4 linked regions of the Alligator mississippiensis genome follow. The protein of the gene in region 2 purifies or fractionates together with the protein of the main gene of each other region. This does not show direct contact. Links are inferred from orthologs where the notes say so. Each region holds a gene or a part of one and is shown on either strand. Other genes may lie near its edges. The genes, in order: EMD, LRRK2, DNAJA1 and RPL23.

Region 1 (7,690 bases), on a different chromosome or scaffold from region 2:
TCCCCGTTTGTCTGTGCGCATCTCGGACATACACAGGTGGGGCGGTGTTTGTCACCTGGGCTCCGGTCCGGCCATCCCCAGCATGAGAAGGACGGTGGAAAGGGGTGCGTGTAAAAGAGAGACCTCACTTCTGGGGGGGGACGGGGGGCGGAAGGGAGCGCGAGTGTGTGTGTGCGTGCGCCCCTCCCCCACACACATTTGGGGGGACCTCCTCAGGCACAACCATTACTTCTACCCCGCCTCCCAGTCCAGAAAACCCAGGCGCCGGGACTCCCACCCAGCCCCACAAGAAATGAGGTGACAATGAAACTAAAAAACCCACATTTTTATTGGGATTTTTTTTGCCCCCAGAATAATGGATCCCGCCCCACATGGCACAAAATAACCTCCGATTCATGGAAAGACAGCTGTTGCTAGGCAACCCCCAAACAACTTCTCCACTGGGGGGGGATAGGAGTTGCCTTACCCCACCTGCAAGGGTGGGAACCGGGATGACTGAGTTCTCTGGGCTGGAGTGGGGCAGGGCTGGGGGTAACCTGGGGGTGGCTGTTAGGGCCTGAGGGTGGGAGGGGCTGGGAGTGAGTGGAGGGGCAGGATTGGCACTGGGGGGGGGGTGGCTGGGGGAAATTGAGGGATCCAGGGTGCAGGTCTGTGTATGGGGGCAGTCCCTGGACTACCAGGGGAGCAGGCTGGTTGGGCAGGATTCTGGTAGTTGGGGTGTCCCATTGGAAGTGGGGATGGGGGGGTCTCTGCAGTGTGGGGCTATCCCTGAGTGCACCTTGAGGGGGGGTTAGGAGGGAATGGGGGGCCTTAAATACAGGGGAGTGGTCCCCAGGGTGCCCGGAGGAGGTCTCAGGGTGTAAGGAGGTCCCATGGGAGGTCCATGGGAAGTTTTGGAGGGTTCCCCAGGATCTGTGTAGGAGAAAGTCCTTGGGTATTGGGGGGCTCCAGCTGTGGGGGGAGGGATCCTCAGTATGTCCTAGGGAGGGGTTCCTGGGTGCATGTGTGGGCCTGGACAACCCCTGAGAGGTTTTGGTGGGGCCAGTTATGGAGGCCCTGGTGTTAGAGGCTGGGGCCTGGGTGTGGGCAGTCTCTAGGTCTGTGCAACAGTGCCTGGGGGCCCCTGGATGCGGGCGGCTGGGCTGGCTGTGGGGAAGGGGGGTTCCTAGGAATCTCTGGTTGGGGAGCAGGGTGGACCGCGGCCCCTCAGCCCTGTAGGCTGCGGGGAAAGGGGTTGTCGCTGGCGCCGCCCTGGAGAGCGAAGTAGACGAAAGTGAGGAAAGCGGCCACGGCCCCGAACACCAGCAGCTGCAGCCACAGAGGCAGGAAGCGCCGGGGGGCGCCGGGAGTCGCTACGCCTGTGCCCGCGCCCGGCCCGCCCCTGGACCCGGGTCGGATGGAGGGGCGCGGCGCCACGCGCTGGTAGGCAGTGCTGTCCCTGAAGGGGAAAAGCGATGAGTGGGGGACCGCCCCCGCCCCGCCCCGCCCCGCCTCCCAGACCTACGCTCACCTCTCAATAGCATCCCCCCAGGGGCTGCTGGCGCCGGGCTCCTCCTTGCCCTGCGGGGAGATCCCACGGCCAGTCAACAGCGCTGCCGGCCCCGCCCCACGCCTCCCTCTACAGGCCACTCCGGGAAGAACCCTTCATTTTCATAGCCACGCCCCGGAGGGAGGGGCGCGCGGGTTCTATTTGCATCTCCGCAGATCGCTTGCATATTTGCCACGCGGGGGCTGCCGGGGGCGCTAGGGTCAATGCTGGAAATGAGGCCCCGGCGTCCCCGGAAGGGGCGGGTCGGGGCATCTTGGGCAGCCCCTGGAGTTCCTGCATTGGAAGTGGCGGCGGGTCTCTCCTCAGTGGAGGCGGCGACCCGGGACGGGAAGTGATGTATAGAGACCGGGTGTGGTTCCGTGTTCGGCGCCGCTCCCCAAGCAAGCAGCGGGGTGTACCTCCCGCATCAGGGGGGGGTCCCTGAATCGCGTGCGCCCGGCATGCGGGAGCCCGCATGCTCGTGCTCTGGGCGTGCCTGGACACCTAGGTTCTCTGGGTGTGTCCCTGGCCCGGCCCCGCCCCACCGCCCCCAGTCCCGCAGGCCCCGCCCTATGTGTCCCTCACTCACAGGCCGTAGCGGGTCGCTGTAAAGCCGGGCAGGGGGCTCCTCTGTGTAGGAGCCCTGGTAGGTATCCAGATCTGGCGAGACACACAAGGGGGCTGAGACCTGGGGCGACCGCAGCTCCTCCACCAATGGGGAACCCGAGGCCCAGCTCCCCAGCTCACCTTCGCGCCTATAGCCACGATTGGGGAGTACGGAGTGGTCTGGTGTCATGTAGGATTCCCGGATGTAGAGCCTGGAGGGACTCGGGTCTAAGGGTGTGTGGGAGGAGTTAGTCTGACCCCCAGCCCCCAAAAACCCCAACGGTGCCGCTCACTCCAGCCCTGCAGTCCCCTGCCAGAGCCCCACAGGCCCCGCTCACCCTCTGCCGGGTATCGGGCCCGAGCCCCGTCCTCGGGGTACTTGTAGAACTCTCTCATGAAGCTCTCAGTAGTGAGGGGCTCTGCAGGGGGGAGAGGGGAACAAGGGCGAATCAATCCAGGCCGGGGCTCCCCGTCTCCCCCCTCACCCGTCACTCACCTGGCGGCTCCCCCGGGCCCCCCTGCGTCGTGCGCTGCCGTTCCAACTCGTAAACCTTCTTCTCGTAGAGCTTCCGTGTGGAGCCTGGGCGAGGGGGTGGGAGGGTCAGAACCCCCATAGCCCGACCCCTCACTCCCGACCCGCAACCCCCTTCGCCCCACATCGGGACCCCAGTGGCTCCGCACCCTCATACCCACGACTGGCCCGTGCGAGATCTGGTAGCTCTTGAGTTTGGCAATGAGCTCGTTGTCCGTCAGGCCCTGGTACTGCTCCATGCTGCCCGGAAGAGGGGTGGGGGAGCTTGAACGCAGGCGTCGGGGTCTCCGGGAGCTCCGCGGGCTGGGAAGAGAGGCTACGGGGCGGGAGCAGGGGGCGCGGCGGAGCTGGCAGGGGTCTCGATCTCAGGCCGGGCCAAGCTGGAACCGCAACGACTAGGAAGTGACGGGAAGCGGGGCGGCCCCACCCCCAAACTACGTTACCCAGAGTCCCCCACGGCAGCCCGAGCGCCGCCGCAGGGAGGTGAAGCTGGGTGGGCCCGGACACCTGGGTTCTCTCCCAGCCGGGGAGCTCAGAGACGGAAGCGTGCGCAGAGCGGTGTCGGGGGCACCGCCGGACTCTAGGGCGATGTCGGGACACCCGGGCTCTCTGCGGGGTCGAGGAGCTCTGGCGTTGCGCTCCCCGCAACCGGCCGCCCCCCCGCCCGACTCACCCCGGCCCGCTTCCTCCACGCCCCACCCCCGCGCCCGCCCGCGCCCCACAGAGCAGGCGGCTCCTCGGATCCTTTCTCCCCTCTTCTTTATTCGACAGTTTTTATTCCTTTCCTCGCTCCCCTTTTCCCCTGTCTTTTTTGGTCGATACATGTCAAGGGGGCCAGGGGTCAGCCGGGGGGGGGGGGAACTTAATAATTACGTCATGATCTCCCCTACCTCATGCCCCCTGCGGGGGTGATACTGGGGTGGGGGGTTATTGGGAGGGAGGGGCCACAAACCCAAAGTCACAGTCACGGCACAAAACAGACACGGAGAAATAGAGAGCTAGGGGGTGCGGGGCGCCAGGGTTCCATCATCCCTCCCCTGCGTGCCCCACGTGTGGGCGTCTCCCCCCCGCCCCCACACTCCCGAAGGCCTGGGGGGGTACAGAAGGTTGGGGGGCCTGGGGGCAGTTGTGAGGGTCCCGATCCAGCCCCAGGCCCCCCAGGGCTGCGGGGGGGGGGGGGGGGGCAGCGGCACATCTCGACGCCCCCTGCTGGGGCTGGAGACCTGGGGAGAGAAACATGGTGATGGCAATGGTAGCCCCGCCTTTTTACCCTGTCCCATCCCCCTTCCTCCTCCAACCTGCCCTGGCCACACCTCCTTTTCCCCTGACCCCACCCCAGCCCAGCCCCTCTGTGCACTTGCCCCTAGTTACATCTGCTCTCACAGGCCCTGCCCCTGCTGAACCCACCCCATGGCCACACCCTCTCCCCCAGGCCCTGGCCACAGTGGGAGTCACTCACCAGCTACATCTGGTTGGCGAAGGCTGTTGGGGCAGCGGGGGCACCATAGGCATCAGGAGCACCGTAGTCTGGCTGGTAGCCGCCACCCGGAGCACCGTAGGGGTCAGGAACACCATAGGGGTCAGGGGCACCATAGGCCTCAGGCGCTGCCTGCTTCTCAGGGGGACCAGGTGGGGCACGGGCGAACGGTGCTCCCCAGCCTGTCTCTTTGAACACGAACCACACATTGCCTGTCCACAGCACAAGATTCAGGAAGCCAAACACCTGCCAAGGGTCAGAGGGCAGTGCTGGGAGTCAAAGGGCAGCACCAGGGACACCTTATGGGCCACTGAGCATCACAGGAGGAAGCACAGGAGTCAAAGGGCAACATGGCAGGTCATCAGGGCACCATGAAGGTCAAATGGCACCACCGGGGTCATCTGGGGTACCACCAGGGGTCAATGGGTACCACTGGCAGTACCCCAAGGGCCATTGGGCTCAAAGCAGACTATGGGGGGGTGTCATTGGGGCACTGCTGGGGTACCCCAAAAGTTAGGCATCACTGGGGTCACTGTGAGGGTCAGAGCACCACTAGGGTTGTCAGGGGCACTGACAGTCAGAAGGTACTGCTGGGGGTATGCCAAGGGGCACCTTAGGTGACAGAGGTCACCACAGGACTCAAAAGTCAATACTGGGGTAATCAGGGTCACTGCAGGGGGCAAAGAGCATCATCAGGGGTACTAGCACCGGGATTTTCAGGTTCCAACAGGGGGCAAAGTGGACCCCAGGGATAGAGGGTCACTGCAGAGACCACCTCAGGGATCACAGGGCATCACAACAGTTAGGGTTGCAGGGCCCCAGGAGATCAAGGGACACCTGAGGGGTCATGGCAGGGGTCACAGGGTATTGCAGGGCTTACAAGATCATTGCAGGGGTCCCAATCCTATGGAAGGTCCTACTTCTGGGGGCTCCCAAGGGGTGTCTGTTCCTAGGGGGCCTAATTTGGAGGGGGAAGAGGACCAATCCTGAGAGGACCTGATTCTGTGGCTTTGCTCAGGGTCCCCATCCTGGTGGACATCTCAGAGAAGACCCAATCTTGAGAGTCCTGATTCTGGGGGTTCTCTTACCACAGAGGTGTTGAGGCCAGAGGTTACAGGTGCCTGCAGGAGGTGGCAGACAACTTCCTTACGCTGGCAGGTCTTGGCCCCCTCCAGTACTTGGCTCCACTCTGTCGCTGCCTTCACATCGGCCAGGCCCTTGGCCCAGGCACATGAGCTCACCAGCCACAGGAAGGCAAAGGTGCCCGTCACCACCAGGTCCTGGCCGGGTCAGGGGGAGGGTCAGGGATGCCCATGGCTTCCCCTCCAACCCTCCATACCCCCCCTCCCCCGCAGATTCCCCAGTATCCTTCAGGGCACACCCAGCCCCTTATAAAACCTGACAGGCCACCAGAATTACCTTCAGCACACTCCCCCCCTCACCCAGAATCCTCTAGGGCCCTCCAGCCCCTGCATAAGACCCCAGCCACGCCAAAGGCACTCCAGTCCTCCCAGAATCCCCCAAAGCCCCCATAATCCTCCACAGTCCTCCCAGCCCCCACTGAAACCCACAGGCTCTGGAGCCCCCTCCAGCCCCTGCCCCCACCCCAATCATTCCAATCCCCAAAACTCCCCAACTATTCCAGGCATCCCTCACTCTCCCATGACCCCTCCCATGGCCCCCCCATAACAACACCCAGGCCCTGCCCTACCTATTGACCCTCCTCGAGGCCCCATCCACCATGCTGAGGCCCCACCCTTTCCTCTATGACCCCCTTCTCTGTTGCCCAGGCCCCAGGCTTCACCCCTTACCCCCATTGCCCTCCCAAAATGCCCCACCCTCAATGTTCCTGACTCCCTCCCTTCCAGCCACAGCCCCACCCCTCTCTAGCTGCACCCCCAATGCCTCTGGCCCCTCCAGGGTTCCACTGCCCCACCCCCTCCATCTCTGACTCCACCCCTTTCTCCTGGCTCCATCCCCTCCTGCAGCCTTACTTCCAATGTCCCCGGCTCTGTCCCTTTCCCCATGGCCCCACCCCTCTCCTGCCCCCCAAGCCTTGTCACTCACAATAACCGGGCCCTTGTTGCCCTGGCGATACTTGTCCTGCAGGAAGAGGTAGACGAGAGTGGCACCCAGGGCATAGAGGAAGGCAAAGACAGCAACGGTGACGAAGAATTCAGCAGAGGATGAGTAGTCGCCCACCAGGAAAACCTTCTCTGGCTCCCCCCCCTGGCAATTCGGTACCCGAAAGTACACCTGGTGAAGCCTGCAGGGAGTGTATAGCAACTGTATGGACTGGGAGAGGGCCATATATGGCCCCTATGGACCAGGGTAGGCCCTATAGTGCCCATATGCCCCATTTGGCACCTGGAAGGAGCAGTACAGCATCCATACAGACTGGGGGGACAAGACCTAAAGTGCCCATATAGACAAGGAGCAGGCCATATACTACCCGTATGGATGAGGGAAAGGCCCTATAATGCCTGTATGGACCAGCTGGGCACAGAGACACCTGTTGCAGTTTGCTGGAGGTGGAGTCTAGGGCTAGTATCTGTATGAACCAAAGGACACCCCCCTCCCTCATTCCATTTAATGCCCCCGCTGGTCCTTATAGAATATACTGCCATCCTCTGGGCCTTATACCCCATGCACTCCTTCCCCCACACCTCCACCATGGCCATATACAGTATAACAGCTTTCTCCTAGCCTTATACTCTATGTAATGTCCCTACTTGGATCTTATACAGTATTGTAACCTCCCCCTGGGCCTTATAACCCATATAATGCCCTCTCCTAATCCTTACATCACACATGGGGCCTTGTACAATCTAACAGTTTTCCCTGGGCCTTATACACTATATAATGCTCCCTCCCATCCTGGTATCCCATGTAATACCCCCAACCAGGCTTCATACTCCATGCACTGTCTCCTGCCAGTCTTTATACAGTATAATCCCTTCCTCCAGACCTTGTACTCCATGCACTTCCCCTGCCAGGGCTTTATATAGTACAGTGGTCTCCCCTGGGCCTTACACCCTATGCATTGCCCCCACCTGGTCCTTATACCCAAGTAGTGCCCCCACATGGGCTTCATCCAGTATAACACCATCCCCCAGCCTTATATCCCATGTAACATCTCTAGCTGGTCCTTATATTCCATGCCATGCTGCTGGTGGGCCCTGGACAGTTCCACCCTGCCCAGCATGGAGCTGACCTGAAGGGGTAGGCGATGGGGACATCAAGGTTGCTGTGACTGCGGTTTTCGGTACATTCCACGCTCACCCGCAGCTGCCCCGAGTAGCTTCCGCACGTGCCAAAGGCGAAGATGGCGAAGAGCTGGGGGGTGGACAGGGTGAGGGACAGCAGGCAGGGAACCTAGGTGTCTGGTTCCCTACCCCCACCTCGCAGCCCCATTCCTCTCCCAGGGAACCCAGGCATCTGGGCTCCCAGTCTTCACTGCTCTTACCTCCCCCACCCCTCACCCCACTCACCTGCCAGAGATCCCAGCCATTTGGGTGCCTAGCCCCCTCTCCCTTCCCAGGGAGCC
Region 2 (7,982 bases):
AAAGTTTTCCACTTCTTACAGAGTGGAAGAAGAGGACTTCTTGCACAGTCCAACTTGTATTGGTGCCCACATTATTAATCTGAAAGGAGGAGACAAGGAGACTTCTACTTTGCACACTTGATGGACAACAACACAGCAAGTTATTTTGTGACCAGCTGAACCAGGAGGAAATATATTCATCACCTCAAATGCAGCCCTTACTCAAAGGTAAAAATGCAGGTCATTCATTTCAGTGCCACAAAACCAGAAGAGCTACTGATCCATTTACTTGTCCAGACAACTGGAAAGTAATGTAGGCAGACTGCTTCAAAATCCAGGACTACAGTGTACCACTGCAGCAGTAAACTCAGCCTCAAATGTCGCAGTTATTGGGCTTGACTCATATCAGACATAGCAAAGAGCACCGAATACATCAGTGCATTATACTTCTAAAATATTATGAAAATAGTAAGTGGGGAAAGTGAAATTACAGCATTTTAAAGATATGAGTTCCACACTGGCTGAGGATTCACCACTTAAAATAAAACTAAGGCACCCTAAGAGTGCATCCAGACGAGTGCACACGGGATTTGCAGCACCACAGACCCGTCAGTGGTGCCACAAACCAAATGCACTGCACGTGCAGATATTCGCTGCACTGCTAATTTAAAAACCCATGCCAAAAAAAAGAGTGGGGTGGCACACATGGTGGCAGCATGTGCCACCCAAAACCAGAGCCTAGCTTACCGGAGCCATTCTTCAGTTTCTAGTCAGGCTCCGTGTGCTCGGATCACCACTGCTGGAGCCCCGGGACCCCTGGACCTAGGTAAGGCTGCTGAGGACAGGGTAGGTGTGCTGATCCCAGCCTCCCCTTCCCGACATGGGGCAACTTGCCATGTGCCACAGCACGCATGCACAGGTGTTCCCCAGGGACACATACTAATAGCACTCCTATGCACCACTATTTGGCCCTGGCGAAACACATGTGAACACTTGTTTGGAGGCTCCCTAAAAATCTAATGTGGACTCATAAAAGCTAAGATACTCAAAACTGAAGTTGAAACTAAAGGTTACATTAAGTACGGAGATAAGAATAATGGATTTATTTACCTGGCCAAATTCTCAAGTAACTACTTTCTTCCCCATTTTGTTCTGAAAACTCCCTCTGTGGTTTCAGTAGGATGTGATATTTTTCCCTTCCTGTTCTAAATTTTCGTGCAACCTGGCTAAGTATTATTAAATCACTGTTCAACTCTTAACATGGATTGAAGATGAATCCCCATATCTTTCTTAATTACTTAATTTCTTAATTACTTAATTTCTTAAATGTTTCCTATTTGCAAAATGCTTAGAGGTTCTCAAACTAAAGCAGCAGTTGGAATTATTATTATTGTAATAACTACACGTCATAGAATGAAGCAAAGACACAAATTCATGCTTTAATCCAGTGGTTGGCAAAGGTTTTGGGCAGCAGGCTGGAGTGATCCATCTTGGGTCCAAGGCAAGCTGGAATTAATACCTGGCTACTGCCAGCACTTCTCCCTGCTGCCCATCGGTGGCTCAGGAGAAGCCCCTTGTTTCCAAAGCCCCATCCAGCTCCATGGGCTGGATCCAACGGCTCTGTGGGCTGGATCCAGCTCCCAGGGTATAGGTTCCCAACTGCTGCTTTAATCAAAATTTTTTAACATTGCAAATTCTCACTTGTTCTTTCCCCATTACTTAGATCAGCTATTTACAATTTAAGTCAACAACCTGACATTTTAAAAGACACCAAGAAGGTTCTAATGATGCCACTTCCTTTCTAAATGCAAAGCACCCGTCCAAACATTGTATCATCTGTAACCATCCGCTAAAGGTAAAGCATCAAATTATTTGACTGCTGAGAAGACTGACTGCTCCCACCAGCACTAGCCTATTCAGTTTGGAAAAACTGAAAGCTATTCAGGCCTATTCAATTTAGAAAAGAGAGGCGGGGGGGGGGGGGGGCGGACACGATAAGGGTTTACAAAATATTGAACAGCAAAAAGAAAGTAGACAGGGATTTATCATTCACTCTCACAATACAAGAACTAGGGGTCATAAAACAGAACTACCAAGTAGTCAGTTTAAAACTAAAAAAGGGAAGTTCTTTTTTCTGCAGCGAGTCATTGAAGTGTGGCGCTCACTGCCACCGACAGTTGCCCATTTACCTAGATGCAAAAAGGGCCGGGACAAACTTTTGGAGGAAGAGGGTGGGTAGCTATTGAAGGTGGGGATGTCCGAATCAGAACTGCCTACACCAGTGGTTCCCAATCTGCGGTACAGGTACTAGACCACCTGTCAGCAGTACATGTTAACAGACGTATTATAATGACTCGATAGGACAAAAAGTTGCTGGTGGTACTGGTAAAGGCCGTATCGTTTTAAACTAGTGGGGTGCCATCTGTCAGGCTTTGGGAGCCGCTGTCCTAGACCTTAAATGTGAAGGCTGCATATGAGAGGGGAACGGGAGCGGGGGACGGGACGGGATGGGACGCCCTGCTCAGACCCAGCTCGCTTTCCGAGTTACGCCGCAAAAGCCCATCGGCGTTTCCCCGCGGTCCCCCCCGCTCCCAGCCCGGGCCACGCAGCGCTGAGCTGCGCGCCAGGGGAAGCCGAGCCGCGCCCCCGCGGGCCGGGGTCACCTACCTGCTGCAGCTCGGCGGCGCTTACGTAGGAGTCCAGCACCACCAGCAGCGGCACGTGGGCGGCGCGGCCGCGGAAGAGCGCGGGGGCTGCGCGGGGAGAGGAGACGCGTTACAGCCGCGGCCCGGCTGGGGGGGACAGGGGACGGGAGGAGAGGGCGGGGGGGCGGTCTCACCGTCGGGCAGCGCCGCCAGCGCCAGCAGGTCGCGCAGCGTCTGCACGAGCGTGTCCAGGCGCTGCCCGTCCCGCACGTGCCGCAGCCTCACGAGCAGCTTGGCGAGGGCCGCCTCGTCCCGCGGCTCGGCCATGGCCCCGCGCCGCCCCGCATCTGTCCCGCCCGGGCGGGGCCGGCGCTGCCCCAGGACGCCTGTAGGCGGCGCTGCCGCGGCTCCTCCCCCGGAGGCGGTGCCACTGACAGCCGTGCTGTCCAATCGGGTGGCGGCGCTGGTACTGCGGGCCCACCCCCGTCCTTATAAGGGAGGGCGCCGCGGCGAGCGGCTGTTATTATGAGCTGGGCAGAGGGGGTCGGCGTCGTGGGGGTGGGGTCTCCTCACCCGCCCGTCTTCCCGTCCGCTTCTCAGAGCACTGAGCGAGGGGGAGCGTGCGGGGCGCTGTGTCGCCCTCCCAGCCCTGGCGTGAGGCGGTGCGGGGCCCCGCAGCCTGTCGAGTAGGGAGGGGGCCTGGGCCTTCGCCATGAGGAGGGGAGGAGCGAGTCGCAGCTGCGGCAGACCCAGGCAGAGGGTTCCAGAAAGAGTTACAAGCCCACGAAAGAGCAGATGAAACTGCGTTGAGCAACCCCACAGCCCCGGCTGCGCGCAGGGATGGGGCTGAATTGCGGGTTCCCGTCCCCAGAGGGGGATTGGGGGTCATCGGTGGGTCTCCAAGGTCAGGGCTGCTGCTGTGAGTGTCCAGCTGACCAGACGAACAGGATATGAAGTGCTGCTAGGAAAGGGAATGAAGCAGAGACACTGTTGTGTCCCTAGAAAGTCCGCACTGAACTTTCCTATGCTGGAAGTAGCGAAGGAAAAGTGCCGAAGGAAAAGAGCAGGGGCACGAAAGATCAGTCAGGCCTGCAGAATGGCCTCCAAATAAGGAGAAGCTGAAAAGGCTGAAAGGTTTCAGCTTGGGAAAACCGCCATCTAGAAAAATCCATGGAATGAAAAAAAGAATTGGTGGAACTAGGTCTTGAATCTAGCAAGCCTTGTGTACGTGTAACACCTTTTCATACAGTCTTAGGGTGGCTTATAACAGAAGGGGGAGAACTACAGGGACGGAATAAAATAATGAGAGTACAACCCCTTCCCTCTTCCCTAAAGTGGGGGGAAGAATTGAAAGTGATCCTCCCCAACCACTTCTGCTCTTTGTCCCTGACCAGTGAAAATATCCTTCTACACAGCTTTATTTCTTAACCCACATCCAATGCTAGGAGTCGCCTAAAACAAAAATACTTTTGTGAAATTCATTGTCCTGGGATGTTCAAGCCAGTAATATTGAGTGGGTTAGGTGGTACTTTATGGAGGACAGGTTTATAGGGGACTATTGTCTATAACATTCAAAGTCAAAACAGCATTAACCTGCTGCTCACCAAAATGGTATGATACTGGATAGAACTCTACAAATTTCCTGTTTCTTTTAGTTTCTCGAAAGCAACCATTATTTGCCACTGTCAAAGTATGGGATACCGAAGTTGATCCTTAGCCTAAGCTAGTACAGCAGTTCTTAAGTGGGGGCTGGGTAAGAAAGCAAACCTGAGATCTATGCAGCCAACCTGACAACCCCCTTTGAAGGTGGAGCAAGCTGGGCTGTGACCTGTTTACCTCCCAGTGTGGCTGTTGGGGACCACGTGGTGATATTCTCCAACTAACATGACTTGGAGGGCCTCATGGGGTTTATCACTGAGGTGGTAAAAAGGGTGAATAGAGCCAAGCTTACTAAGTAAGGGTGTTTGGAAGAGATGGAGAGTGATGTGCTCCTTCATCTTGCTGACATGTCTTTTGGAGAGCTAAGTCTGTGATCTGGTTTCCCAGACTGGGGTTGTAGAGCTTTTGCATAGAAGAAAAATCGCTTCCACTTGATTATATCTAGTTATAGAAACTCAATTTCACAAAACAAATGGTCAATTCAGTAAAGAAAATATTGATAACCTTTTATGGTAGGCCAACTCAAAAAGCAATCAAAGCAAATTTTCTAGCCTTAATGTAGGTATCTGGTTATAAATCAGTGCACTTTCTTTGTGCCTATGTAAACACCTTTAAGAAAATTAAAATTACAATATTTTAATCACATTGATTTAATAAATTTCAAACACACAACCTGACATGTTTTCATAGTAGTTATAACAGCTGCCAATAAACATCAAATCATTCCTAAAGCATGGCTTGCAAGAATAAGAAATGGGAATATTTTTGCCATGATTAGCAAACTATTTTAAGGAAACATGGAGCAAAACTAATAGTAGAAAAGCTAAACATTATATATACTGTCTAACTTTTTTTAACCTCTAACTGCCTTATTTTTGGCACTTTTCGCTGCTCTTGCAAGGTGAAAAGTTAAATTGCCGGCAGCTGTCACTAAATTGCTAGAAGTTAAATTCGTAAGTTGTCATCAAATGAACACTAGTTCCCACAGAACTGTGCTAAATAAAGAGGGAGGAAATGAATAACTTCACCAAGCTTATCTCTGGTTTTTAATGTTTTAGCCATTTTGAACAATAACAACAAAAGCTGGAAATATTTGGCTGTTTTGAAGCTAACTTGATTTTTTTCTTAATGCTTGGCTCTTGGGCAATCAGTTCAGGGAAGTCTCCTTTATTAAAAAGGTTGGTTATTTTGAGTGACAAGCATTCTGAACTGCATTTGGATCTCTGGTTATTGCAAATACTTAGTAGCTAGCCAATCTCAGGGCTGTCAGCTTTTGTTGTAGTGCTGGTACTGTCTCAACCTTAAGTCTCATTCAAAGAAACTTTTGTACTATTTCTTAATTATAGACCATAGACTATGACTACATTTGGCCATGATGAATGATCTTATCTCCCTTCAAAGTTCTAGAAGACAAAACATTGACCTGGGGTAATTTAAGCATGGAACAGCGATTCATTTTTAGAAACTAGTTGAGTGCCTTTTCATTTGGACTAGTGCAAGCACCTGTAATGACAAAGTCAGTTGAATAAAAATAGATCCACTTCAGTCAGAGGCTCCTGACTACCCTCAAGCAACAAACATAGATACCTCAACTTCACTGCTTCACTCTATCACGTAGTTGACCTTCAATTTATTGTCATGTGATGTTTTATGAGATTATGCTAATATTTATTATTTATTGTGTGATGCTCAGTGTCACAGTAATATACTTGTGGGGGGGAGCACCAACAGGATGCTCACCACTTAAGGGCTGTTGCAGGCTCTGAGTGAGCCTACTTTGTGAGCAGCAGGGAAAGCCCCCATCCCCGGAACCATTTTAAGGGGGAACATAGGTGGCAGAGCACCTTTGGTGTCTGAGGAGAGCAGGCAGCAGACAAGTGTAGGCCAGCCCTGGTGAGGCGGCCATTTTAAGATCCTGGCTCTCAGGGCTGAGAGCAGCAGTTTTCTGCCAGCAGCCAAGGGAGCAACAACACCCAGGTATGCTGCTGCTCATGGAGCATCTTGGAGTTAAGGTCAGGAGCTATTGGGGATGGCAGGAGGCTCCTGGTCCTGGGTATTGTCACAACCCAGTTAATCAGTGCCCATGCCACTAGCAAGAGATACCATTCAAGTAGCCAACTAAGGGTTAAAAAAGAAATCCTTGCTCCTGAAACAAAATCCTGGCAGAGAGCTGTATATAATTTATGCCCATGTCACAAACAAGAAACGAAACTGGTCATGGTGAAAGGGTATAGCCCTGCCATAAATCCCTGCAATTGGTCAAGAAACAAGCGTAAGTCCCTCATCATAACCTCATATGTAACAGGAAGAAAACCTAACCCACTACCTTGTAACCTGATAGCAACCTGAGAGCACAAAGAACTGCTGCTTGCCAGAAAATTAAAGATTTCACATAACGGTTCATCATTGGGTATCTCCGTCAGACACCTCTGTCTATAAATAGTTTAGCAACTTCCGCCCAGATGGAGAACCCCGGAGAAACCTCTGAGGAGAGACCTGAGTCCATCACCAGAGTAGATTGATGGTCTGATCAGCTGTCAATACTCCCCGTCATCGTAAATCTTGACGTATCAAAGCCCTGCAGGCACGATAGCACGTTTTCGGCGCCACGTCCATCATTGCTTGGCTGTAACCCGTACGTTTGACTGTAATCGATGCAACTGTAGCAGAACAAAGGCTAAGCCTGCATCGCACGTCACTATCTGGGCGACGTAAGTAAACAATCTCCTATAACCAACACGCATCTGTGCCTGGTTAATTTCACCCCATCCATCACTACCCGCCTGTCAGGTAAAAGTTTTACTGCTTCGGTGGGGGGGGTCAGAAGGCAGCTGCTGGCCGGCTGCTCTGATTCCCGACAGGTATGACTGAAAACTGCACTCCGCTGGGGAGTCCCCCAGGAATGCCAGTCCAGTTACCTTTCTGGTGAAAGGCGAGGAGGGGCGCCTTAAAACCCCAGCCCCCCCTATTTTAGTGGGTTATTAAGATCAGAGGGGAGCAGAGCCAGGCATACCGATGGGAGTGGCACCTGAGCCCGTAGGGGTGGAAGACTGTGGAGAGTAGTGGGGTCAGGCATGCCCAACTGGAGGCATCTGAGCCCAGTAAGAGGAGTAGTGCCAGGCATGCCCATGGGGGTGGTACCTGAGCCTGTGGGGGGTGATGAGGCCCCAGGGAGATGGGGGTGAGTGGTGAGGCCCAGGTAAGCTTTTGGGCGTGTGAGGCCGCAAGTGAGCCTGGCGCCAAGTGAGCTGACTCGGAGGGAGCCATGAGTAGTAGGGGTGAGTAATTGGCTCCAATTGTGGAACCTGTGGGTTGAGTTACCAAGTGATGGGCTAGGGGTAAAGTCAGCACAGTGTTTGTTGAATTGCCTGGCCACTGTTCAGGTGTGGGTCATGAGAGAGGCCCAAAAGGCTGCACGCTGGCTGGCCAAGGAGTGTAGAAACAAGCCTAATGGCCTACGGGAGCCACTTCAGGGAGCAGGGCAGGGTGCATGTGGCTCAGTGAGGAGCAAGGGTGCAAGAGGCCCAGTGAGAGCGGGCAGAGTGGTAGAGGCCTCAGTGAGAGGGAAGTGGTATGTGTAAGGCCCAGAACAGGGCAGTATGAGCTCTAACAGTGTGCCGAGTTGGGCCCAGTCTCAAGCCGGACCATACATAGCACAACTCAGGTGTCATCTGCGAGGCATAGGACACGATAAGGGAA
Region 3 (7,324 bases), on a different chromosome or scaffold from region 2:
TTCTTATTTGCATGCCTGTACCTCTGCAGTTGGGACAGCATTCCACTGCACCTTTCTTACCACCTCGACCTGATAACAAGACAGCAGAATGAAAGGATTTGACAACTGAAATGAACTCCAAATAAAACATATCAAAAGTACACTTATTTAGTTTATTGAAAACAACTGTTTTCACCTGAACATAATTTTTTGTAAAGATAAACAAAAAATGAGTTAGTGGAATTCAGTTAACAAGTTCCCTGGAGTTCTAGACTGTAGTACAGAAAACTTACCTTCACATTTGTCACAAATCACATTCTTTTGCAGAGCCAGTTTTCTTGTTGCCCCATTGTACAAGTCCTCTAAACTTACTGACAACTGATGAACAACATTTTTACCTGTAAAAAACACACTCATTATTCCAGACTTTGTAATTCCATGCTAATCAGATTTTGTTCTCTTATTTCTCAACTGAAATCAACTAAGACCCAATTCTTCAGAACATAGCACATTTACTAAAGGAAAATACTTTAACACAAGCCAACTGCCCATCAGGAATGACAGGGTATAGGGACAAAGCAGGCAGGGTGGGGGATAGGAGGGGAGGGAGGGAGCTTGCTCCACCATCCCATGCTGCCTCCAGGGAGCAAGGCTCCATCTCTGCCATCATGGCAGCACTCTGCCATCATGGCAGCACTCTGCCATGCACTGCCTCCTGTCTGGAACACTCTTGGAGCACTCTGATTGGTTGTTTCCCTCAGTATTGTGATTGGTTGTCTCAGCAGCCAGTCAAGAGTGCAGATACAGCATTACAGACAGACTAAGGCTTTTATTATATTAGAATACATAAAAAAGCAAGCAAGCATAGGACTCATAACATAGCACTATTAAAGTACTAACAATAAAAGATAATGGTCCTATGCTAACATTTCCCCCCACCATTCAACATGGTGGAGAAAAAGCAGCAACTTCTTACTTCATGTAACATGAAATTTGGAGTCTATGGCTGTACTGTTTTTTGTACTAGTCACACCTTGGTGCATGTGCGCGCGCGCACACACACACACACACACACACACACACACACACCCCCCCACCCACCCCCCGTAAGGAAGAATTATATAAAGATGTGTTCTAGTTAAATAACATTAATCTGTTAAATCACTTAAAAAAGCTTAGGCTAAATTAAGAACTAGACAATTTAGTGCATTATAAATACGATGAAATAACCACCTCAAACTATAACTTCCAAACCTCTAAATACTGGAAGCTCTAAGGGAAGAGGGAAGGGAGACAGATCAGTCCAAGAGGCCCTACATAAGTTTTTTCTTGCTACTCTGCTACAAAACAAGGATACCATCCTAGGTCAGTGGTACTCTATATTCTAGTCCTGCCAGCTGGATCCGATGCATGGAATCAGTCCCTAGGCTAGATCCAAAGGAGGGTCAGGCTGCAGTTATGCCAGCCCAGCCCCACACACTAGATCTAGTGCATGGGGGCATGTCACCCGACCTGCAGGGCACTCCACAGGTTTAAGACTAGAAGTTGGAAGTATGGCAGCTGTGGCTGTATTAAAGTGCTGTAACTTAATCCAGAGCAGCAGCAATTAATGTTTCCCCTACCTCCCCACAAGATTTTCAGGCCTCCAGGGAGCCCCATGCAAGACATGCCCCACCACCCAAGCTGGAGGTTGAGCACCACTGCCTTAGACGGACCTGTTCCGACCCAGAAGAGTATTTATGTTCTTTAGAAAAGTTTGGCACATACAGTTAGCTTAATCTTCAAACCTCAAGTTTTAGACAATGACACCACTGATGTCTTGTGACACCTACCTATTACTATTCATACAAAGTTAGTATTATAACTCATTATACACTAAACATTCAGAAAATAAGCTTTAGATTACTGTGATAGTTTTCTTGTTTTCAAGCACCAGCATAGGAAAATTGGCACCATTTAGTTATTAAAAAGTGTAGCCACTCCATCTTTGTCTTTTCTTGAACTCTAACAGAAGCAAGTATGATCTCTCTCAACTGTATTCAGGGAGGGTCCGGTATATGCTCGACTGCCAGTGTACCCAACATGACAAAAAGGTTGCATACCTCGCCTCTCTCTTTGCATTCTTCCACCTCCTCCAAAGAACATGTCAAATATATCCATGGGGGACCCAAAGCTACAGCCAGAACCACCCTCTTTAATGGCCTGCTCGCCTCCTTTGTCATATAAGTCTCTTTTCTTGGGATCAGAAAGAACTTCATATGCTTGAGAAATCTGTTTGAACTGCAACAGAAGCCAGCACATTAACTAAATCCACAAGGAGATGTGACAAAACCAGACATTTCCCCCCCCCCAATCCCTTTAACACCAACAATTATTAGCTTTAAAACAGCAGCCCATTTGGAGCTGGTGAACAAACTTCAACCGAGCCAGCCTTTACAGGGGAACTTTCCCCACCCCCCGTTCCCGCTGTGCTCAGGCACAGCCACAACCAGAAACCCAAGCTGGGAAGAGGCCTGGTGCTTCTGCTGCATTCCTGGATCAGGGACCCGAGCAAAAGCACCCACAGGGAAGCCCTGCAGGCACCTCTCATAAAGAGAAAGTGGGAAGAGAAGAGAGACGAGGCGAGGCGAGGCGAGGCGAGGCGAGGCTCCCACCTCTCCCCTCCCCCCCACGTCGCTACCTTCTCGCCCTCGTTGGGGTTTTTGTCGGGGTGGTACTTCAACGCCAGCTTGCGGTAGGCCTTCTTCAGCTCCTCCTGGGACGCGCTGGGCTTCACGCCGAGCACATCGTAGTACGTCGTTTCTTTCACCATCGTGAACGGCGACCTGCGCGAGCCGCCTCCGTCAGCCGCGCAGCACCTCCCGCGCCGCGCCGCGCCTGTCCCAGCAACCCCGGGGTCAAAGGGCCGACAGCGCCGCGTGGGCCCCAAGGCTGCGCCCCCCAACCCCCACCCCGGGGCGGCAGCAGCAGCGCCCTACCTGGCTGACTGGCGGCGCTGGCTCCGGCGGCTCCCGCGGCCTCCCGACTTTTCTGGAAAGTTCCAAACAAGGCTCGGCATCCGGAGCCTTTTGTAGCCGGGGAGGCCCCGCCCCGGAAGCTTCGTCCCCTCGTTGCCGGGTAGCCGGGGGCGGGAGGGGGCGGAGCGCGGGAGCGGGAGCCAATGGCAGCCTCTGACCTCGCTTCACCCCGCCGACTCGGGCCGCCCGGCTACAGCCCCCAGCGTGCGCTGCGGCCGCTTGGCGGACTACGACTCCCAGCGGGCGCCGTGGCCGAGTGGGGTGGTGGGGGTGTGGTGCATGCTGGGAGTTTTGCCGCCCCGCGCCGCGGGTTGTGTGATGTATTTCCTGGTTTAACCTTGTTTCCAAACGAAGCACCTGAAACACGGGCGGGGCGATGCAGAAATGAGGCAAAATGCCAGAGTTGCAAGTTTCAAGGCGCCACCGCTCTCGGGCTGGCGGTAGAAGCGCTCCATGCAAGGAAACTTGGGATGCCGCCCTGCACAGCCGTGCATTAGCAGAGCCGTGACTTTATGCGGGACCGGTAACGAGGTACGTTTTGTACCTCGTTAGGGGAGAAAAACCCCGCAGATACACCTGCTGGGCGGTGGCTAACATAGCTCCCCGGGGAGCCTTTGTGTGCACCAAGTATTCCTGAGGAAAGAAAGGCCGGATTTCCGGGGCTCAGTTAATTCAATCACAGACTTCCTTTTATATCGTTGCACAACCTGCCCGCTCGGTTTGAAAGATGGCAAATGAGCCCCCCCCAGCACTGAGCGGAGGAATAGTTCAAGGTGAAACTAGTTCCATTGGAAAACACGGTGGGGGTTCACCACTGTAGGCAAACACCATAAGAACAGAAATGCGAAACCGATTGCGATTGCCCTAAGGTGAGTGACATGCATACAAGTAAAGATAAAACATTGTAGATTATGACATTTTATTTTAGCTGGATGCCGTTATGGCTTTGTAATCTGAAGTAGTTTGATATTCCCAGCATTTACTTTCTTCCTAAAAGAAGGGCCATCCAGAAGATAATATATATGTAAATAAACAGCCTTCCAGAATTGAGGGCTGGGAGAGGCCCAAAGCCTAGCTATTACAAAGTAGGACCCCAAAACAGAGATGCTTAATACCCAATTCAGCAGCAGATTGTGTGCCCTTATGTGGAGACAGCTGAAATAAAGCAGGCTCAGTAGCTAGTAAAAATGGTTGAGCACCTTGCAAGAGCACATCTGGTACAAGTATATATGCTGAATGCATATTGGACTGCTTTTTAGCCCTCCCTGCTGTCTTTGGGTCGACAGGACTGAAATAGGTGATTTCTCACTTCTGTTCAGTAAGCTTTGTGAAGCGAATCAGTGGTCTCTTGTCATTTCTAGAGCATAGATATTCTGCTTGTAGAAATCTGGATGTGGAAGGGCAGGCGCCATATTTCCTCTGCTTTTGCACAATGCTGAGCATAAGTAAATGCTCAAACGATAATTGCTGTGACTGTCAGCAAGAATGCCTGAGAGGCTGAAGGTAGAAGTTCGCACACATTCCTATAGCACCATTTCCTGCTTTCATCTTGCCTTCAGTATCAGAAACTGAATTTTAGAAAGCCCGTCCCTGTTGGATCGTGCAGCTTGATTATCTCTTTCATTCTCTGCTGCCCCCCCTGCCTTTTTTTTTTTTTACTCAACACACATTTCAGAGTGCTTGAGGGATGTCCCATTATCCTGCTGTGTATCTGAATCATCTTCTATTTTCCTCTTCTCACTGAGATCTCTACAGCTTGCTCCACCCTGGGAAAATCCATTCCTATGCTTGCTTCACCTGTCGCAACCCAGTAATACTTGTCATTTTCCTCCAGCTCTTTCCTACTGCTCCATTTTCCCACTGTTCCTGCTGTCTTCCTCTACCAGCCCTTGGCAGGACTTCTTGTCCTTCAGGCGAGGATGCTGGCAAGAGCATGAAGGGAGACTAGGGAAAGGGAGGGCAGATTGTGGGACAGTTGAGAGAGCAATAGAAAAAATGCGCTCCTTGTCACGAGCCTTATTTAAGGGGTCTGTATGCTGTGTTCTGGTGGGAGGACTTTATGTAATAAAATGGCCATGAGTGTCTAGGGGCATGTGTAGATGAAACAGGGATTAATGTTGAGCGCACCTGAAAATTTTAACCCGGCTTTGTTTTGGTGCGGTGCGTTTGTGTTTGCACGACATGGCGCTTTTGAGTGACTTAAGTCTCCTGTGTCATTGCCTGCAGATTCAGTAGGGGGAGGTCAAATACCAATATACCCCCACCCCCAATGTCTTTCCTAATGTATTACAGCAGGAGGCACATGTAAGCCTGCTTCCCCTGTCCCCGCCCCTGGCCTCTCACTGGGAGTCTCCCCCGGGCACAGTCACCCCAAAAACCTTGTTACTTGCATCCACCTATGCTCGGTCGGTCGGTCTAGTCTCTCTCCGTCAGTATGCGACCCCAAAGACCCCCATCACAATCCCCATTCCAAAAATAAGCCTTGTGAATCCTCCCATCCTGTTCCTTTCCCTTCCCATCCCACCATGTTACAAATACATGTGCTTTTTCTTTTATTTACTTTATAGCTGCTATAATACCACCAAATGTTCAGGGTTCAGAGTAGTGGGTGGGTGGGTGTTTGTTGCTGCCTAATTGACTGGCAATTGCTGTCGATGATGCTGGTGGTGGCAGTGAGCAGGCGAGCTCTTCTGTGGTTTATTGTTGTTGTTGTTCTGGTGTTTTTGGACTACATTTCCCAGCATCCCGAGCTCACTGATCTTCATGCAGTTTTCAGTGGGGGCTCCCATTGAAACCTTCCAGTTCCCTGCCCAGTACCACCGTCAGTCTGTTTGTGTAGTGTCACATGGCTTTTGGGGGTGTGTTATGAAATGTTTTATAAATGTTTTTGAAAATGTGGGTTGCTGTTCAGCTTCGTCCCCCACCCACCTAGCCCACCAAAAGCTATAGTTAACCTTCTTGCCCACATGGTGGGGGGGGCTTTTTCAGATGTAGGTGATAGTGTGTAATGCCCCCCCCACAAACCACTTACAGGCTGGAAGCAGCAAACCCCTAGCCCAGTCCACATTTCCTACCCCTTCCCCTGACCGTCCTCCCCTCTAACCCCCCCGTCCGCAACACCGCACGCCCTTGTCTACAGACACAGATTTAAAGTGCAAATCAATTTATTTTAACATAACCAAGAGAAAGAACAAAGCGCTCTTAGGTGTTGTTGTCAGTAATATATCCCGCCAGACAATCATGCACAAGGGACACCCAACCAGCCTCTCCTTGAGGATTTCTCCTCAGTCCCTGTGCTGCTGCAGCCTGGACACGTCTCTGTTGTCTGGCCACTGCCTGTTGCGCTGCTTCTTCCCGCGACTCCTTGAAAATCTCCATGGCTCTCAGATACTGTGTAGCATGCAGACTGCCACTACAAAGGCCATGATATTTTCTGGCTCCATCTTGAGCTGGCACATAAGCGCCCTCCGTCGTCCTTTCAGTCAGCCAAACGCACATTGCACGGCCATCCTGCAACTGCTCAGGTGGTAGTTAAAAAATCAGCTTCTGCATGTTGGTGACATTCCCTCCATAAGGCTTCATGAGCCAGGGCTTTAGGGAGTAGGCAGCATCTGCTAATACAACCGGGGAACAGCAACACCACGGATCACTGTCTCCTCCACGCCAGGTGCGTAGTGTCCTTTCTCCACGAGGCCAGGCAGAGGGGAGTTTCTGAACACACATACATCATGCGTGCTGCCAGCCCACCCAGTATAAATGTTTGAGAGCCAGCCCTGGTGGTCCACCACAGCTTGCAGGATCATGGAGGCATATCCTTTCCTGTTTATGAAAGCCCTCCCCCTCCCCACAGGGCACAGCACTGGGATGTGAAATGCCCCCATGCAGTTAGGGAATCCCTTGTCATTGAACCCATCTGTGAATTGCTGCGGGTTCACCAGGTGGATAATTTTGTTTGAAGCGATCTCCTTTAGCAGCTGGCATACCTCACAAGTTGCCAACCTGACCATGCAAGCAGCCACGCCAAGCTGGTTCGCAACGTAGCGGAGGCTGGATGGGCTGGCCAGTTTCATGATTGCCCTAGCAACCCTCTTGTCTGGTGGGGCCCCAGCACTGAAACAATACGATAGAACGTCTCCCTGTCATTCAGAACATCTCCAGCCACTGCTGGTCATTCCAAGTCGTCAGTACAATTCACTCCCATCAGTCCAAGCTGCTCTCACAGGCCCACACTGTGCAGATTCTGGTCCTCCTCAGGTTTCTCAACAGAGCTGTCATCTTCCACTTCTTCACTTTCCTCTGGGTATTTCAAGTCCTCTGGGTATCAGTAT
Region 4 (7,815 bases), about 140 Mb from region 2:
ATACCCAGCATTTCATAAACACCCAGCCTGGAAAAATCCAGACCCTTCTAGCTGTTCCATTATTCAAATGCAAAAATGCTGACTCCATCCTGCTTGCTTTAACTAAACTTCAACTCTGCGACAAAGCATTAGGTTATAGACATGCTTCTGCCAGGTATCTAGTTCAGTATCCAAGCTTGATTATAGCTCTCAGAGCTAATAGATTCAAAGCCTGATGTGGGAGGCTGGCAAAGCGCAATAGGTTAGTGTACAGGAAATTGTGTCCTAAATTCTGCTTGCCATGTTGCAACAAAGCTAGCCTTCAGCAATCTGTGTATCATGTTCCTCATCCAGAAAAGTAGAATTGCAAGAGCTATTTTATGAACATAACAATTATCATTTCCACCAACCTAGCAGGCTTGGGGGATACCAAGCCAGTCTACCTCTGAACAACCCATTGCTGCCAGCTCTACAAGCTCATGATCTGCACAATCCATCCTCCTGTCCTTGCATTCCTCTCTGGGGGACAAATGGCAGGACACCCTAGATGAGAGCAGGGATGAGGGTCCCCAGTGGACAAGTCTGTATCCCACAAGCCATTGGCTCCTCCATGGAGCTGTTGCCATGGGCACATATCTGGCACATTTTGTGGACACCCCTGACACCCTTCTGCCAACTGAGGGAGACCCTGGTACATGCCTACCTGGAGTGTGCCAGGCTGCAGCTTCTCTTTTGCCTTCTCCAGGACCTCTTGCTGAAGTTCTGGCTGTATTTCTCCCTGCATCTTTTTTGTTATGTACTTCCCGTCCACTGTGCCACCAAGTGCTGGGACTTCCTGGTCAACCTCCTCCTGGCTCTGGCCAAGCTGGCCCTCTATAAGACCAGGAAGGAGATTCGGGCCAGGGCAACCCAGGTGAGTGTGCGGCTGTCTTCCTGTCATTCCTCCACTTATGTCTCTGGATAGAGTTTCACTGGTCGTGTCCACAGGCTTCCTGCTTCCTCCATTCAGGGGGCGGTGGGTGCTGGCCAGCGTGCTCTGCTTGGATCCCTTCTGAATCTCTTGTAATTAACCTGTGATTGTCTCATTCCTGTTTTCTTTTTAGTTGTCCCAAGTAATCAATTGATGTGTCTCCAGTAGACTGTCTTATAAGGGAATCTTACAGTTGTCCATGATGGGCCAAAGCCCATGACCCCATAACATATCAAATAAGCCTGTGTTACAGAGAGGCAGAGAGTGGATGCTGAAAGGGAGAGGGAACTGGGGATGACCACTGTTCCCATGCACTTGCAGCAGCATTTAAAGTAGGGGTGGGCAAAATATGGCCTGTAGGCCAGATTTGGCCTGCCAATGGATTTTATATAGCCTGCAGCAGGTCTCTCAGCCCTGCCTGGCCCAGACAGGGGTGCAGCCCAGCCTGTGGTGCAAGCACTGAGCAGCCAGTCCTGCTGTCCCTGGGGCGTGCAGTGGGGCTGGGATGGTGTGGCTGCCAGACTCAGCTTCCCAGCAGTCCTGGCAGTGACAGGTCTGCTACCAGTGTCACCGCTGCTGCCCAGGCACCCTGGCCTACCCATCCAGCTCTTGGACTCTGCTCCCCACCCACCCATGTCCCTATCTCATCCAGCTGGCAGGGGTCCCAGGCTGGTCTCCATGGAGACCCCACCTGCCTGCTCCATCCAGCACCCCCAGCAGTGGGTGTGGGCCAGATGGACTGGGGCCAGTTAGGATCCATTCCCACCCCTACGCTCCCCCCCATCCCAGGCCGAGCCAGCACTCCCCCACACCTGCCCTGCAATAGCTCCCCAAAACTCCTTAAGTGGCCCTCCAACCCAAATAATTAATCACCCCTGTTCTAAAGGACTCTTCAGGCTGGAAAAGTGCAGGCTCAGGGTGATCTTGTGGCCACCTATAAGTTTATCAGGGGTATTCACCAGGATCTGGGGGGATGACTATTCACCAGAGCGCCCCAAGGGATGACAAGATTGAATGGTCATAAACTGCTCCACAACTGTTTCAGGCTGGATATAAGGAAGAACTTTTTTACTGTCTGAGCCCCCAAGGTTTGGAATAAACTGCTGCCAGAGGTGGTTCAAGCACCCACTTTGAACGCCTTCAAGACACACTTGGATGTTTATCTTGCTGGGATCCTATGATCCCTGCTGACTTCCTGTCCCTGGGGAAGGGGGCTGGACTCGATGATCCTCCGGGGTCCCTTCCAGCCCAAATGTCTATGAAATCTGTGAAATAAAGGATGCTGCAGTGCAATTTGAAACCGCGAGACATTGATGAGGCTGAAGTTGGTTCCTAGTTACTAGTTCCTGGTTTGTTTTTCAAAGGTAATCTGTACACAATTTACAGTTTTTTCCACATAGGGAAAAAGAATCAATACCCAAAACAACTAATATTTCCTAAAGAGCTGAACAATCCATGTAGCTAGTGAACAAGTATAAGATTTAGCACAGACTTATTGCCACAAGGGGGTATAGCTCAGTGGTAGAGCATTTGACTGCAGATCAAGAGGTCCCCGGTTCAAATCCGGGTGCCCCCTCGTTTTTATTCTTCTAGAAATAATGTTTGCTAAATGAATAGGAAGGATTTTTATAAATACCCAGCATTTATGACAAACCCAGGCAGTTGTAGTCATCCCTTTATTCAAACTCAAAAATGCTGACTCCATCCTGTTTGCTTTAGCTAAATTTTAAAAGCCTGCAATAAAGCTTTGTGGTTATAGACCTGCTTCTGCCAGGTGCTGTAGTTAGTTCAGGATTGACTGCTTCATTACAGCTCAGAGAGGTTACAGGTTCAAAAGCTGGTGTGCCAGCCAGCTCACCAACACTCTTAAGTGGTCCTCCAGCCCAAATAATTGCCCACCCCTACTTTAAAGTCTAGGAGCTGCTCTTTATAGATGAGGCTGAAATTGGTTCCTAGCTCCTTTTTTTAAATAAGGAGCCAACTTCAGCCTCATTATTAACTGAGGGTGCATCTACACCAAACTTACTTAGAAGTAGACTAATTAGCTCCAGAGTAAACAGTCTCAGTGTCTACAGATGTAGGGCTATTAGGCTAGCATAAACTAATAAACTCCACAGCAGGGCCTTGTAAATACAAGTACTATCCTGCTGCAGAGTTTTTTTACTATGCAGGAGCACTCATGTAGATGCTGACCAGCTGGCTGGGGCACAAGGGTGCTTGAGTAGGGGGGTGCCTGCTGGCCAGCCCCACACTGGAGCACCATTGTGCCCCAGCCAGCCCCCCTGCAGTACATTGAGCCAGGCCAGAACACCCCAAGCTGGCAGGCCCCCTGACAGTCAGGGATGCTCCAACCTTGCTCAGTGTACTCCCGTCCTGGGCACATATGTAGATGTAATAAACTCTAGCGTGATAAGTGCCAGAGTTTATTGCAGCATATTAATATAATATAATATCATATAATATTAACATGCCCAGAGTGTTTTAATTCAATCTGATTGGAAGGAGAAAGGGTTGGAAGAAGGGAGGTCATGTTTAAAACTATATCTATTTCTGAATTCTAACCACCACCAGAAAGGCATTCAGAAAGGCCTTATTTGGGGTCAGATTTTGCACAGCTCCTGCAATACAGAAATCTCTGCAAGTCTTGAAACATCCTCTCTTTTTTTCTGGATAATTGATGTTTCCACTCTGCAGAAACCTAACAGAGTTTTTATTGAACCTCGTCCTCTTTTTTCATGCTCCTGCACTTCTGGCATTTTTCCTGTGATCATTTTCCATCTCCCACAAGATTACCTGTTTTCTTTCAGAACTTTTAAAAGCATGCCTCAGTCGCATGCAATTGCCTCCTTACACACTGCAAGAAGACTACGCCTTTCCTCATGATTTCCTCAGCATCAAGTTAAAACCTTAAAGCAAATAGGGTGACTGCGGTTGTTTGGAAAGGAAAGCCAGGTATCACACAGGCAGCGTTGCATGATTGCAGTTTAATGGGTGGGAGGGATCCTCTTTCTAAATTGATTCCTCTGCATTGTATCCAGGGGTTATTTTATAAGGCATAAAACTGAGCAAAGGGTGTGTACACATGTACTTTCTGACAGTTAAGCTGAGGTTTTTTTTAAAGTCACATGTACATGGCTCAGAGTTGACTTAAATGCGGGGCAAGATGATACACCTCTGAGGTGTATTACCTTGGGGCACCTATACATGTTCATCGAGGCTGCTCCAATACACTGCAACTGCAGTGCATCAGCGCAGACTCGATCAATCAAGTCTGCTGGAGCGTGGTAATTACCACATTCCAGCAGACTTCAGCATCACATGTATCAGCATCCCTGCGCTGAAAAATGGCAGCTGGGGCACTTTAATTAAAGCTCATTCAACAAGCTTTAATTAAAACGCCCCTGCTGCTATTTTCCAGCATGGGGATGCTGACACATGTGGGGCTTGAGGCACATTAGAGCTGTAATTAAAGCACCCCCCACTTCCAAAACAGGAGTATATATCAACCTAGCTCACAAAATGGATGTCACCGAGTCAAGATGTGCATGTTATGCTCTGACCTGGTTTAAGTTGACTTAGTTAAGTCACCTTATTTTAAGCCAGTTTAGCATGTGTGCACGCCCAAAGGTAGTAGCCCAGGTACAATGGTTAAAACTCCAGGGCTAGAAACTGTACTAAAATACACGCCCCACTCAACCCCGCTAGCCCACAAATGCTGCAGAGCTGAGGTCGGGCTGGGTCCACGCAGAACCCGGCCGCGAGCCTGGGCTGTAGTGCCCCCGGCTGCCCTACAGGGGGCGCGAGCTGCCCTTCGGAGGTAGAGCCATTCCCTCGTCACCTGACAAGGGAGCTCGCCCCTCCCCTCTCCGACCTCACGCAACGTCCGCGTCATGAATGAATATCCCGTCGTCCTTTGCGCCGCCTTCTCTCTTTCTCCGGAACCAACATGTCTAAGCGAGGTGAGGCCTGGCGCGGCCGGCCCCGGCCGGGGTGAGCGGCGGTGCAATCCGTCGCCATCCTCCGGCCGCGCGGGCGGGGCGGCCTCGCCACCCGCGGGGATGGGGCGGGGGGAGCCCGGGCTCCCTGCGGGGCTGTGTCTGGTGCGGGCAGGGAGCGGGGGGACGCCCTACGGGGCACGGGACTGGGCGGGGGGTCCCGTGTGCAGGGGAGGGGTCGGCAGGCAGGCACTTAAGACTGTGAAGCCCCTGGGTTTTGGCTGCGTGTCCGGCAGGGAGGAATTAGTGAGCAGTGGTGTTGGGGGTGGGGGGCTGTGAAGACTGCAGGGGGTGTCCTCGAATTGAGGCCCTAGGCTTGAAAGGGGGAGTCATGGAGCCCATGTGGATGTGTCCTCCGGGTTGAGCATTGTCCAAGTCAAGCTGTCCTGGGCCTGGAGTGGAAATGCTTGTTCTGCACCGAGATGCTGAGAAGGGCAGAGGAGAAACGCTGCTGCTTTGTAAGTAAGAGTGGTGATAGGGTCTTAGAGGTGGACCCATGAAAGTTAGAAGCCTGCTTCAGTTTTAGTTGTGTGCATAGTGCCCAGACACATTAAAATGGCATCGTTCTCGGTGGAGGAATCTAATCAAGATTAATACCGGTATTTATTGCTGTTCTCTTTAAATAATAGTTGTATTTTGTTTAGCTCTTACAGCTCTTAATTTGAGCAACAGCAATTGTATCTTTAGGTTAATATTATTATGATCTGACTTATTAATAATCTTTTGACTTCTGTTTGGGTGTGCGAGAGTCTTTGAAGCAAAAGAAAATAACTGCTATAAAAGTTCTAGGTCTGTGGAGCAAATGTCACGTTACAGACTTTTGAGAAATATCTACTGAGATGAGAATTTGGCTTGTGACTAATGCATAAAGTGAGTGTGAGTGACAGTGTGAGTATTCTGGTCCCCGGTCATGTTTTGTCCTCTGTTTTTAACCTGCAGGACGTGGTGGTTCGTCTGGTGCGAAGTTCCGCATCTCCCTGGGTCTCCCTGTGGGAGCTGTGATTAACTGTGCAGATAATACAGGTGAGGCAGTTCATCCAGCACTTCTCTCCCCATTGGGCATCATTTCTTTTTGTTAAGATCAGTTTCTGACCACTGGTTTCTTAATCAGAAGTCAGAAATATTTCTGGAAACAAGGTGCAAGTCTTAAGGTGATTAGCCCTTGGAAGATCTTATAGTGGATTCTCCACATAGTCTTTAAAGTAAGCTTGGATTGATTTCTAAAAGATGTTCGAGCTCAAAAATGAAACTACAGGTGTGATTTTTTTTCTCATCTAATTATCCAAAAAATCTGATTTGATGATTAGAATGGGTCCATCTGCCCTTGAATACTGTGAACCCCTTAACCTGCTTCAGCCAATATTCAATTTGCTGCTCATTAACAAGGCCAAGAATTTCTATCCTGTCTCTGAAGCAGTTGCATCTCCCTTCTTAAAGCACTTGCTGGGTCTTTGTTCAGTGGCTCAGGGAGTTGTCGTGGAAGGGAATAGAAAGACACCGCTTTTGGGTGAAGTGGCAGCCTGTGCTGTTAACTTCAATCAGTGGTGTGACAAAAGTCTCCAGGCTTTTCTGTAGTGGGTTGGCTAATGCAAAGGGTTTCTTTTTATTTCCTCTGTAGGTGCCAAGAACCTCTACATTATCTCTGTGAAAGGGATTAAGGGACGTCTGAACAGACTGCCAGCTGCTGGTGTAGGCGACATGGTTATGGCTACAGTCAAGAAGGGCAAGCCTGAGCTCAGGAAGAAGGGTGAGTCTTGTCAGGGAACAGGTTGTGAGTTTGTCTGGTGTATACAAGGGCATTCTAATAGAATTGGTAGTGAGTTGATAGTGTGGGTAGTTCTAGGCATAGGTTGTCTGCACAGAGTGGAAAATCCTGCCTCTGAGCCGTAGGATATCCCAGAAAGCATTGTTCCACATTGCTCTGCCTGTCTGCTCCAACCATGGAAGGGTACTTTATTGTCCAGGTGCCTAGAAGGTACCAGTGAGAACACTTTTTAGGTAAGGTCGACAATATGGTATGGACACAACTTTGTTGTGTTACACCAGCAAAAATGAATGCTCAGTGATTATAAAATACAGTTTTGCATGTTGTAAAATTGTAACTGCAGAGATCATAACACTACAGCTGGTGCCCGAAACACAACCAGGATTCATGTCAGCGCTTCATCTCATCAGGCCTCCTGACATTGATCCTCTTGGTGCGTTGTAGACTGACCTTCATGTATAGGATAGAAAGCCAGTTCTTACAGGAGGAGCAGAGCATACTCTTTAAGAGAGATGGGAACTAGGCGCCCAACAGCATCTCCCCCTTCTGAAAAGCACTTGCTGGGTCTGTGCTCAGTGGCTCGGAGTTGTCGTGGAAGGGTATAGCAAAGGCATCGCTCTTGGGTGAAGTGGCAGCAGCATGTGCTGTTAACTTCAATCAGTGGTGCGACAGTCTTGATGGTTCCCATTTCAGATGTCCTTGGTAAATAGTAGCATGCTAGGTTTTCTTGTTGAATACTATGCTGAGACCTTGCATTTGGTAATGGAGCTGATTTTGCCTTAGAGGCTCTCTAGACTGCTGGGTTAAAATATGAGGATAGTAAAGTGCTCATGTAGATTCAAAGGTAACGTTGCTTTGAGCTAGTTTGTTTTGAAAAATACATTTTAAGCTGCATGCTTCCCTCTGCGTTGCACAGAGAAAGAAAGCCTGCTCCTCTGATGTGTACTTAGCTGCTCTAAAACTAAATAGCAAGGGCTTGTAATCAGTGTATCTGTATAAAACTGTTCGGGATGAAAACCTGCTTTAAATGCATGTTGTAGTACCAGCAAAGGATATTGCATTGAGAGCCTAGAGGAGTCTAGGCTGTTCTGGATTCAAGGCTGCCA

What was found.
Region 1: the proteins of LRRK2 (region 2) and EMD purify together in Homo sapiens (co-immunoprecipitation; 3 studies listed by IntAct). This does not show direct contact. The link is inferred for Alligator mississippiensis from reciprocal best matches to the Homo sapiens genes LRRK2 and EMD.
Region 3: the proteins of LRRK2 (region 2) and DNAJA1 purify together in Homo sapiens (co-immunoprecipitation; 4 studies listed by BioGRID and IntAct, with this or other methods). This does not show direct contact. The link is inferred for Alligator mississippiensis from reciprocal best matches to the Homo sapiens genes LRRK2 and DNAJA1.
Region 4: the proteins of LRRK2 (region 2) and RPL23 purify together in Homo sapiens (affinity purification with mass spectrometry; 3 studies listed by BioGRID and IntAct, with this or other methods). This does not show direct contact. The link is inferred for Alligator mississippiensis from reciprocal best matches to the Homo sapiens genes LRRK2 and RPL23.

What each region holds. Positions count from the first base shown.
Region 1 is NC_081831.1:28,896,674-28,904,363, reverse strand, and holds EMD (emerin), read right to left. Parts: upstream 3,005-7,690; 5' UTR 2,906-3,004; coding exon 2,824-2,905; intron 2,715-2,823; coding exon 2,631-2,714; intron 2,554-2,630; coding exon 2,473-2,553; intron 2,363-2,472; coding exon 2,276-2,362; intron 2,189-2,275; coding exon 2,118-2,188; intron 1,561-2,117; coding exon 1,511-1,560; intron 1,439-1,510; coding exon 1,207-1,438; coding exon of another isoform or gene 1,166-1,206; 3' UTR 311-1,165; downstream 1-310. Other genes in the region: SYP (synaptophysin), read right to left, coding at 4,129-4,389, 5,232-5,423, 6,211-6,409, 7,358-7,479. UniProt on the Homo sapiens protein: Stabilizes and promotes the formation of a nuclear actin cortical network. Stimulates actin polymerization in vitro by binding and stabilizing the pointed end of growing filaments. Inhibits beta-catenin activity by preventing its accumulation in the nucleus.
Region 2 is NC_081827.1:28,643,998-28,651,979, forward strand, and holds the start of LRRK2 (leucine-rich repeat serine/threonine-protein kinase 2), read right to left. Parts: upstream 3,003-7,982; 5' UTR 2,952-3,002; coding exon 2,819-2,951; intron 2,733-2,818; coding exon 2,647-2,732; intron 1-2,646. UniProt on the Homo sapiens protein: Serine/threonine-protein kinase which phosphorylates a broad range of proteins involved in multiple processes such as neuronal plasticity, innate immunity, autophagy, and vesicle trafficking.
Region 3 is NC_081826.1:152,767,884-152,775,207, forward strand, and holds the start of DNAJA1 (dnaJ homolog subfamily A member 1), read right to left. Parts: upstream 3,003-7,324; 5' UTR 2,958-3,002; intron 2,805-2,957; 5' UTR 2,792-2,804; coding exon 2,660-2,791; intron 2,260-2,659; coding exon 2,082-2,259; intron 378-2,081; coding exon 273-377; intron 70-272; coding exon 1-69.
Region 4 is NC_081827.1:166,214,745-166,222,559, forward strand, and holds the start of RPL23 (large ribosomal subunit protein uL14), read left to right. Parts: upstream 1-4,804; 5' UTR 4,805-4,895; coding exon 4,896-4,908; intron 4,909-5,883; coding exon 5,884-5,967; intron 5,968-6,368; exon of another isoform or gene 6,369-6,499; intron 6,500-6,562; coding exon 6,563-6,691; intron 6,692-7,249; exon of another isoform or gene 7,250-7,383; intron 7,384-7,815.